2 linked regions of the Ovis aries genome follow. The protein of the gene in region 1 interacts with the protein of each later gene in a pairwise test. Links are inferred from orthologs where the notes say so. Each region holds a gene or a part of one and is shown in the gene's direction. Other genes may lie near its edges. The genes, in order: GRAMD1C and CD151.

The links.
Region 2: the proteins of GRAMD1C (region 1) and CD151 interact in binary tests that used the Homo sapiens proteins (3 or more experiments, as listed by UniProt). The link is inferred for Ovis aries from reciprocal best matches to the Homo sapiens genes GRAMD1C and CD151.

What each region holds. Positions count from the first base shown.
Region 1 is NC_056054.1:179,455,557-179,459,876, forward strand, and holds the start of GRAMD1C (protein Aster-C), read left to right. Parts: upstream 1-1,405; 5' UTR 1,406-1,458; intron 1,459-4,320. UniProt on the Homo sapiens protein: Cholesterol transporter that mediates non-vesicular transport of cholesterol from the plasma membrane (PM) to the endoplasmic reticulum (ER).
Region 2 is NC_056074.1:46,921,587-46,926,148, reverse strand, and holds the start of CD151 (CD151 antigen), read left to right. Parts: upstream 1-1,630; 5' UTR 1,631-1,723; intron 1,724-2,036; exon of another isoform or gene 2,037-2,310; intron 2,311-2,620; 5' UTR 2,621-2,721; intron 2,722-3,354; 5' UTR 3,355-3,489; coding exon 3,490-3,573; intron 3,574-3,669; coding exon 3,670-3,861; intron 3,862-4,243; coding exon 4,244-4,318; intron 4,319-4,562. Other genes in the region: CRACR2B (EF-hand calcium-binding domain-containing protein 4A), read left to right, coding at 171-435. UniProt on the Homo sapiens protein: Structural component of specialized membrane microdomains known as tetraspanin-enriched microdomains (TERMs), which act as platforms for receptor clustering and signaling.

The sequences.
Region 1 (4,320 bases):
TATCTGCATCCTTCATTATTTTGTAACACTAGCTCTAATAAACATTTCGTATTCAGTATTTCTCAATTGTTCTAGAGTTCTAGAAATGTCTTTTATAGCTTTTTTGGAACTAGGATCTGTAACAGTCAATAGCTTTTTATCAATAACTTCTATCGAAGATTTGAAGGAACAAGCCCTTGCCACGCAATTCCCTTTTTTGCACTCTGGAGCATGGTATGTACGGTAAGAAGTAGAGTGGAGGCTTTGGGAGAAGTGACTTGTGCTAGAAGCCACGTCATAGCAGGCACAGGCGTTTGAGGTTGAGAGCTAGGTATGGACAGGGACTCATCCTGATTCCTAGGAAATACAGGCATGCTTAGTTGCTCAGTCCTGTCTGACTCTTTGTGACCCCATGGACTGTAGCCCACCAGGCTGCTCTATGCATGGGATTTCCCAGTTAAGAATACTGGAGTGGGTTGCTATTTCCTACGCCAGGGGATCTTCCCAACCCAGGGATCAAATCCTGGTTTCCTGCTTGGCAGGTGGATTCCTTACCACTGTAACCACCTGGAAAGCAATAAATAAACCATTCAAACATTAAAAAAAATTACATCTCTTCTTTAATGCAGCCACCAACTTCCGGCTTTAGTTGTCCTTGAGGTTGCCACCAACAGTGACCCTGGGGGAGGGTCCAAAACACTGCATTCATTTCCAGAACTAGGATGCTTCTGAAGTAAGGCTTTCTCATGGAATAAAGTGTTCAGTGTCACAAAACGGTGAATTGCCCTGACACACTTGAGTTGCAGTGACTCACAGATGACAGTGAGTCCATACTGTGAAGTGAGGTAGTGACACGCAGCAACAGACAGTCCAGTGTCCTGGACCTCGCATGGATTTGCCTCCAAAGAAACAGCGTCTCCAGATCCAGTTCCCGTGAGCGCGTGGCCACCAAAAACCTTTCTGAGTTAACCCTTGATTCTCATACACGAGTTGGTAAACCAGTTTGGAAGAGGTCATCTCTCCCAAGCCAACTAGAATCTTCTTCCAAATGTCTCTGACGCGTCCCTACTGGGCACCTGTCAACACACTTTGAAGTCCTCTTGGGTATTTTTGTGGAAGAGAAACCACAGCTATGGTGTTTCTCAGCCACGCTTGGCAGAGTTTACGCCACCGTCACGCTCAAGACACCCAAACGTTGACTCAGCCTGCAGCCCAACAACAGTACATCCTGAGGGACGGGGTTGGGGTGGAGGCTGGGAGTCCTGAGCGGCCTCCAGAGGGCGCCAGACGCGCCGAGGAGACCCAATGTGCCCCTTGGAGAGCCGGCATACGGGACTCCCGGGGCCGGGATCCCAGAGCGCGCGCCGGGAGAGGGCTTGGGGCGCGCGCCTGGCCGCCTCGTCCCCGCGGCGGGGCGCGCGTGCGCGGTACTCGGCGGCGGAGGGATCCGCGATGGAAGGCGTCCTGACTCTCTGCCAGGTAAGCGGCGCTGTTCAGGGACGAGCTCCCAAGCGAGGGCTTTACCCGGCAGTTCTCTTTGCGAAGGTTGTTAGAACCCTCTCAGATTTTGAACATTATTTCCTCTTTTTCCCTTTCTTTTTCTTGTTGCTCATTGGAGTAATTTGCAAAGTTGTCACCGAGGAAACGGTTTCCTGTGCTTCCCGGAGCCTTTCCTTCTGGGCAATGGGGGAGGTCTGCTTTTCTGGGGGGAAGACTGGCTTCTCGGGGGCGTGGAGTGTGGCATTGGGTCCTGAAATGTCCTAGTCCAAACCTCAGGCCCCCCTGTCGTGATTCTGATCCGGTATCAGGTTGATCCAGCCTCACGCCGTTCCCTTAACTCTCAGCTCTTGATTAAAGGGCTCAGAACTCTAGATAGTTTAAATCACTCTGTGGTGTGAACCACGTTTTCAGTTTCAACTGCCTTGGTTATTTGTTTACTGCCTTATCTGATTAACGGAAGGACTTGCCGAATTTAAGGGTGAAAGCCCACTTTTGTTGCAGGAGTACTTGCATTTCTGAACACTGTCCTCCGCTTTTACGCTGGTTGTGTGTATGTATGTATTTTACTTTAGGAGAATCGTAGTTAGGGCAATAATACCTTTTAATCGAGAGCATTTTACAGTTTACAAAACGGTAGAGGCATTCAAATAATTGTTGGATGAATAAATGAGTGGACTTGGTATTTCAACTGATTCTCAGAACCTTACGGTGAAATGGACCAGGTTAGATATTCATGAGCCCAAGCAGTCATTCATTAAACTATGTTCCAGGCACTGCGTGTTTGGCATAAATGGTGAGCAACACAGACATGATCCCTGTTCTCAATGAGCTTATTCTCTAGACTACAGAGAGTTGTTGCCCCGACTGTAGAATGGAGAAAGCAGATTTAGAGAAGTTGGGTGAAAGTGAAAGTGTTAGTCGTTCAGTCGTGAGCGAATAACTGCGATCCCATGGACTGTAGCCGGCCAGGCTCCTCTGTCCATGGGATTTCACGGGCAAGAATACTGGAGTGGATTGCCGTGTCTTACTCCAGGGGATCCTCCCGACCCAGGGATCAAACCGGGGTCTCTTGCATTGCAGGCAGTTTCTTTACCATCCGAACCACCAGGGAAGCTTAGGTTAACTGACTGCCAATGACCTTGCAGCTGATTCCTTAGAGAGAGAAGATTATCTTGTGGCCAGTAAAGCCAGAATGGACTCCTACTGAACATTTGATTTGGAGATGGAAACTGATGAACACACACACACACACACACACACACACACACCCCATGAAGAGGTTTATTACTTATATATAAAGGCTTATTACTTAGTGAAGTACAGTACATAGCAAAGAGGGAAGAACAGGACAGTCTTCTTAAGCAGATCCAAAGTGACTTGGAAGGACAAGGGAATGAGGCTGGTTCTGGGCTTTTGCGGCAGTTAGGGGGTGGGGTCAAGGGTTCCTGCCTGTGCACAGATTGTTGCTTTGTTTGACTCTGGCATCCACACCAAATGAAAGGGCACCCAGACTTTTTTTTTAACCAACTTGCCCGTTTGAGAGACAGGGAGGAAGAAGGAGGGGTAAGGTTTAAAACCGTCTTCAGGCAAATATGAAAAAATTGAATGAGACTCATTATAATTTACACTTGATGTCTGACTGATGACTGAAATGTACCATTTTTCACTTAGTTGAATTTTGAACTTAAGTAAGCCATCCTGGCTCTTGTATGAGGCCTAGAGACAGAAGTCAGTAAGGAAAATAAAAGTGCCATTGAATACCTTGTTCAGGAGTCCAATCATGTGTATTTTGAGGAATAAAATGAGTACTTTGGCCACTGTTAGGAATGTCTGGAACTCTTGGTGGGGATAAAGAGTGTTCTGGTGAGGCCTTTTATTGTGGCTTTAGTATATGTATTGACACTTGTGACCTTGGTTTATATTTTGAGTACTGAAAACAAGAGAGTTCCAGAGGTCTTTATTCCAAATGGTGCCACTGTTAAGCATGGCCCCAGAGTCTGTAAAAATGTGGAGATAAAGCCAGGTGTTGGCCAGAGCATTCAGGGTTAAGATAACTGTGGGCAGTTCAGTGCAGTGGTCTCCAGTGAGCTCCAGCATGTGGAGGGGTATTGATGCTGTCCACCAAACAACGGGTTTGTCCATCAGACTAATAATAGGAGTTTAAAGTGTCGAGCGCCTACTGCTTTTCACTCAGTTGAATCCAAATTGGTCTGCAGGTATTCAAAGGGTGTGAGAGAGGGGTGACTTCTTCTTGTCCCATGACTAATGACAAAGGAGTGAGAACAGGGGAGGCCATGCCCACCCGTAGGTGGGATATGTTGGAAGGCCCAGATTTGATTCTGTCCTGCAACAAGGAGACCTTGGTGGCTGTGCTGGGCTCGCAAGGTCCTGCTGCCAGGATGGGCAGCTGGGTGTGGAGGGTAGGCTCAGAGCTTAAGAGCCTCTGCTTCCAAGGGGTCCAGTGTGCTGTCAGTCGTTGCTGTTCAAATGATATATTGTGTAGGAGTAAGGAGATAATTTGTTGCATTAGAAACCTGTGGACAACTTAGAGGCATTATGAGTGGTTCAGAGACTCCGGGAATCATGAAGAGAGGCTGCTAAAGGATCTGCAGTGAAGGATTCTTTGTGTGTCTGTGTATGTGCTTGTGTGTGTCTTTGGGGGAGAAAGTAGCACTACTGGGAGTGTCTGTTATATTATAATTTTGACAACTCTCAGAATCCTTTTTGGGAGAGAGCCCTGTTCAGGGTGGACTGACCTGCAAATAACAGCATAAACAGGCTTAAGTAGAATTTGTGAACAACTAATACATCACCTCCCGAATCCAAAAGGACCTGAACGAT
Region 2 (4,562 bases), on another chromosome or scaffold:
GGGGGCGGGCCCCGGGGAGGGGCGCACCTGGAGCTCCGGGCTGCAGTCGCCCCCGGCTGCAGCCCCGCCTCTGGGGTCTCCGTGGCGGGGCGGGGGGGGGGGTCCTCCAGGGGGCCGTGCGGCACCCCGAGGCGCCTTCCTGCACCCGGATCACCACCTCCGTCCTGCAGAGACGTGGTCGCGGTCTCGAGGAACATGCAGAAAGAGAAGCTCAGCCTCCTGCGGCAACTGGAGCTCCTCAGGTGCGTCTGGAAGGGGTCCGCGCCGCCGGTTTCTACCCAGCCCCCATCACCGCCCCCCCACACCGCGAGGAAGCCCTTCCGTGCCCGCGTTCCCCACCCAGGCGTGCCTCCTCTTGAGACCCCTCAGAGCCTGTGGGCTGCTATTCCCCAGGGAGCTGAACACGCGGCTCCGAGACGAGAGGGACGTCTGTGAGGCCCAGCGGCTGGGCAGCGGCCGCAGGAAGGCTCTGAGCTCCGCCCCCCTGCTGGGCGCCCCCTGCTGCTGCTGTTGCAGTAGCTGGGCTCGCCCCCCCAGACGCGGCTCCGGCCACCTGCCCAGTGGCCGCTGACTAGCCCGAGTGACTCACTGGGCCTCACCTGGCTGCTCAGAGAAGCCGCCCCTTGAAGGCGACTCGGCGTCGCCGGGGGCTGCCTATCCAGGATGTGGGCTCTCCCCAGTGAGCTGCCCGGCCTGCCTGACTTGCAGACATGAAGGAACTAACCTGGGGGGTCAGGGACTCATGTCTCTCGCTGCGGTCCTCATTCTATGCCCAGCGCATCGAAACTACCGGAAAACCCCTTCCTCTGAATAAAGTTCACTGACTTCATCCTCCTTGGCGTGTGGGAGCCGTAGCATTTGGACCAGGCGTCCCTCGCCCTTGTGTGTCCACTGGACATGTCCACAAGCCGTCCGCCAGAGTTGTAGGGACCAAGGCACTGAGGCCAGTAGGCCAGGAAGCGGTGGGCGGGCTTCCCTGACCGCCCCCAGCCTCCACCCCTCCCCATGCCAGTCCTCACACAGCCCTGGGGGGGCTAGTTCAGCCCACTGGAGTCCTGAGTGGAGGCACCAGGGGTGGGCCTGAGCTGTCGCCAGTGCCCTCTGCCCTGCCAGCCCGAGCCTCGGGCAGGGAGCAGGGGACGAGGGCGGCCCACCGTCCCGGGAGAGCTGTCCCCACCGACGGCGCCGCCTCGAGCCGTCGGGCGCTCGGCTCTAGCTCCCCAGCGCAGCCGGTCGCAGCCTCTGCCCTCGTTCCCGAACCTTTTCCCACCACTCCCAGGCGACACCCTCCTGTCTGGACCCTCTCACGCCGTGACCCGAGCCTCCCCTGCAAGCCGTCCTCCGCAGGGCGCCCAGAGAGGCCCCTCTCTGCCCCTGACCGCGCCTCTAGGCCGTCCCCCGGGCCGGCCCGCGTCTGTCCCGGGGACCCCCGCAGCCCCGCCCCGCCGCTCGTCCCGAGCGGGCGCCCTCGGGCCGCAGCCCGCCTGGCCTCGGCCTCCTCGCGTGGCCCCCAGGCGGCCGCCGGGGCTGGTGCCCCGCCCGCGCGCGCCGAGCGCCGTCGGGACCCGCCTGCGTCGCCGGCCGGGGCGGGGCCTGCGGGCTCGGGGCGGGGCCCGGGGCGGCCCCGCGCGTCTCGCTCGCAGGCCCGGGCCGGCTGTGTCTTCTGTGCCCTCCGAGCCGCCGCCGCCGCCCCCGCCGCCCGCCGGACTCCGACGCGTGGCCGGTGAGTGCACCGCCGGGCACCGACGACCGGGAGAAGCTGCGCGCCCGGCGACCCCGCAGGCTCCCACCGGGGGTAGACGAGTGCCCGGAGGCCCGGCGGGCCGAGGGTCCGCCGGGCGAGGGCAAGGTGCCTCCCTGGTCTCCGGACGGTCCTTGCGGCCCCCTCGAGCCGGGGGCTCCTCCCGAGCACCCCACGCACTGCGCGAACACCGGTGCCCTCCTCTCCGCCGGTGCCAGTGGGCGGGCCGCGCGCCCCGCCAGGGCGTGGGGGTGGCGGCGGCGGTGACTTCATCGCGGTGACGCGCGAATTCCTCACCGGCCTGCCGGGAGCCGAGCTGGGAGTCCCCCCACCTTGGGGCGTGGGCCGCTGACAGGCCCGGCTGGGCTTCGGGAGCCGGGGGCGGGGCGGCAGCGTCCAGGGCCGCGGGAACTATTTCTGGCCGGCCCTTCCCTGGGGGCTCACCTCCTCCGGGCACTCCCGGAAAGGCGGCCGGCTCCTCAGCCTTTCTCGCCCGAGGGCGGGCCGTGCGGGTGGAGCCTGTGCCTGGAAACAGCCTTCCCCGGACCCAGACCCCAGGACAGGCCCAGGTCCGCCGGCGCGGGGCGTTCTGCACCGTTTCTTCTTCCCCAGCAGCAGCTACTGCCGCTTGGTGGGGGAAGGGCCAGTTACAGGCCAGGTGCCAAGGCTCAGACTAGGGGGCTTGGAGGAGGCGTGCGGTTCCCCCCGGAATCGGACTGTCCAGAAATGTCTTCTGCCCTGCCCCGCCCTAGCCGAGGCCAAAACACCGGGCCTGGCCGCTCCCTTCTCCGAGCGCGGGGGGCGGGGCTTTGGAAGGCCAGCTCGCGGCCAGTACCTGGGTCAGCTACAAGGAGGGATGGTGGGATCCTGCCCATCCAGGTTGAGCCTGACCTGTGGCCTGTCCCTGGCCCTCTAGTGAAGCCTCCTCAGGTGGGAACTTCTGCCTGCCTGCCCTACAGAGGAGCCCTCCCACCAGCCAGGTGAGTGCTAGGGCAGCAGCTAGGAGTCCGGCTCCGGGAGGCACCCTGTCTGTCTGGAAACAGGGCCCCAGGGCTCCTCTGCCCTCTGTGTCCCCACCCCGCTCATGCAGACACCCAGAAACGAGAGGGTGGGGTGGCTCTGGGGAGGGGCACAGGCTGGAGCTTCATTTCCCCCTGGGTCAGCGTGGCTATCCCCATTCAGGAGGGACCCCCAGGTCTGGGGGTGGCGCCTGCCAGCTCTGGCTGGAAGGAAGGCAGGCCGGCCCTTTATGAGGCCTGAGGGCCTTCTCCAAGGCCACAGGACTAAGCTAGAAAAGCACAGATCAGTCTACCTTTGAGCAGCTTCTGCCGCCCCTGCCCCCCCAGCAGCCGGTAGGATCCTGCCAACCTGTGACGTGGGGCACAGGGAATGTTTGGGGTGGGGTGGGGTGAGGGGCCTGTGTGAGCTCACCTGAGCTGCCTGCAGGGCTGAGTCAGCCCGTGGTGGTGGCTGGGGGTCCTCCATGCCTCCCCCGCCATGCCCTGGGCGCTGGTCAGGGGAGCCGGGCCCCCCAGGCTCCAGTTGGGCTGTGGGCACCATGTCTGCCCTTGCCGCAGTGGTGGCGGGGGCTTCCGAGCAGCCCTCCCCCACAGGCGCTCCCAGAACCTTCACCCAGGCAGGGGGTTGGCTTGGCCCCAACCTGGTCTGGACGTGTGTCCCCCGCTCCTCTCCCCGCTGGCGTTTGGCCGTCCTCCCGGGCAGCCCCTCCCCCACCTCCCGGCCCCAGGATGGGTGAGTTTGGGGAGAAGTCGGCAGCATGTGGCACCGTCTGCCTCAAGTACCTGCTCTTCACCTTCAACTGCTGCTTCTGGGTGAGCAGTGGGCACCCCCTTCCCCGACCTCGGAGGAGCCTGGCCAGGGGTCCAGGCCCGGGGCCGGGTGTGGTGACCGGTGTGCACTGCCCGCAGCTGGCTGGCCTGGCCGTCATGGCCGTGGGCATCTGGACGCTGGCCCTCAAGAGCGACTACATCAGCCTGCTGGCCTCGGGCACCTACCTGGCCACAGCCTACATCCTGGTGGTGGCGGGCGTTGTCGTCATGGTGACCGGGGCGCTGGGCTGCTGTGCCACCTTCAAGGAGCGGAGGAACCTGCTGCGTCTGGTCAGCGGGGCTGGCCGCACCGCGGGTGGGGGTGGGGCTCCCTGCCAGGCTGCCTGGGGTGGTTCTGGGTTAGGAGGGCTTAGAAGGGAGACATGGGTGAGACTGCAGGACAGACAGACTCTGCTGTGCTCACCTGGGAGGGGCTCCCTGCCCACCTGTGGGTCCCCGTATCCCGGCTGGGCCAGCAGAGGGAAGACGGCTGAGGAGCACTGGGAGGCCGGGGTCCTCCAGCCCTCACCTGCTGCCGGGGGCCCCCATCGTGTGGCCACTTGGCAGCTGAGGGCAGTGGCTCTGCTCTGCCATGCCTGGTGCTGGGCGTCCTCATGGAATGGGGGCATCTGTGTCCCAGCCCACCTGACTGAGCCCCTGCTCCTCCCCCCAGTACTTCGGCCTGCTCCTTATCATCTTTCTGCTGGAGATCATTGCGGGGGTCCTGGCCTACGTCTACTACCAGCAGGTGAGGGCTGGGACAGGCCACCCGAGGACGTGGACGTGCAGGGACACACGTGCAGTGAGCTGGACATGAGCGTGCAGGAGACGTACACATACACATAGGGACACGGACACCCACGCACTGGGCCACACGCACAGGCAGGGCACGCACGTGAAGACCTGCCATGTAAGGGTACACACGCATGTAGGCTAGGAAGGACCAAGACATACAGGCTGCGGTGCTGAGCCTGGAGATGGAGGCGGGGCCA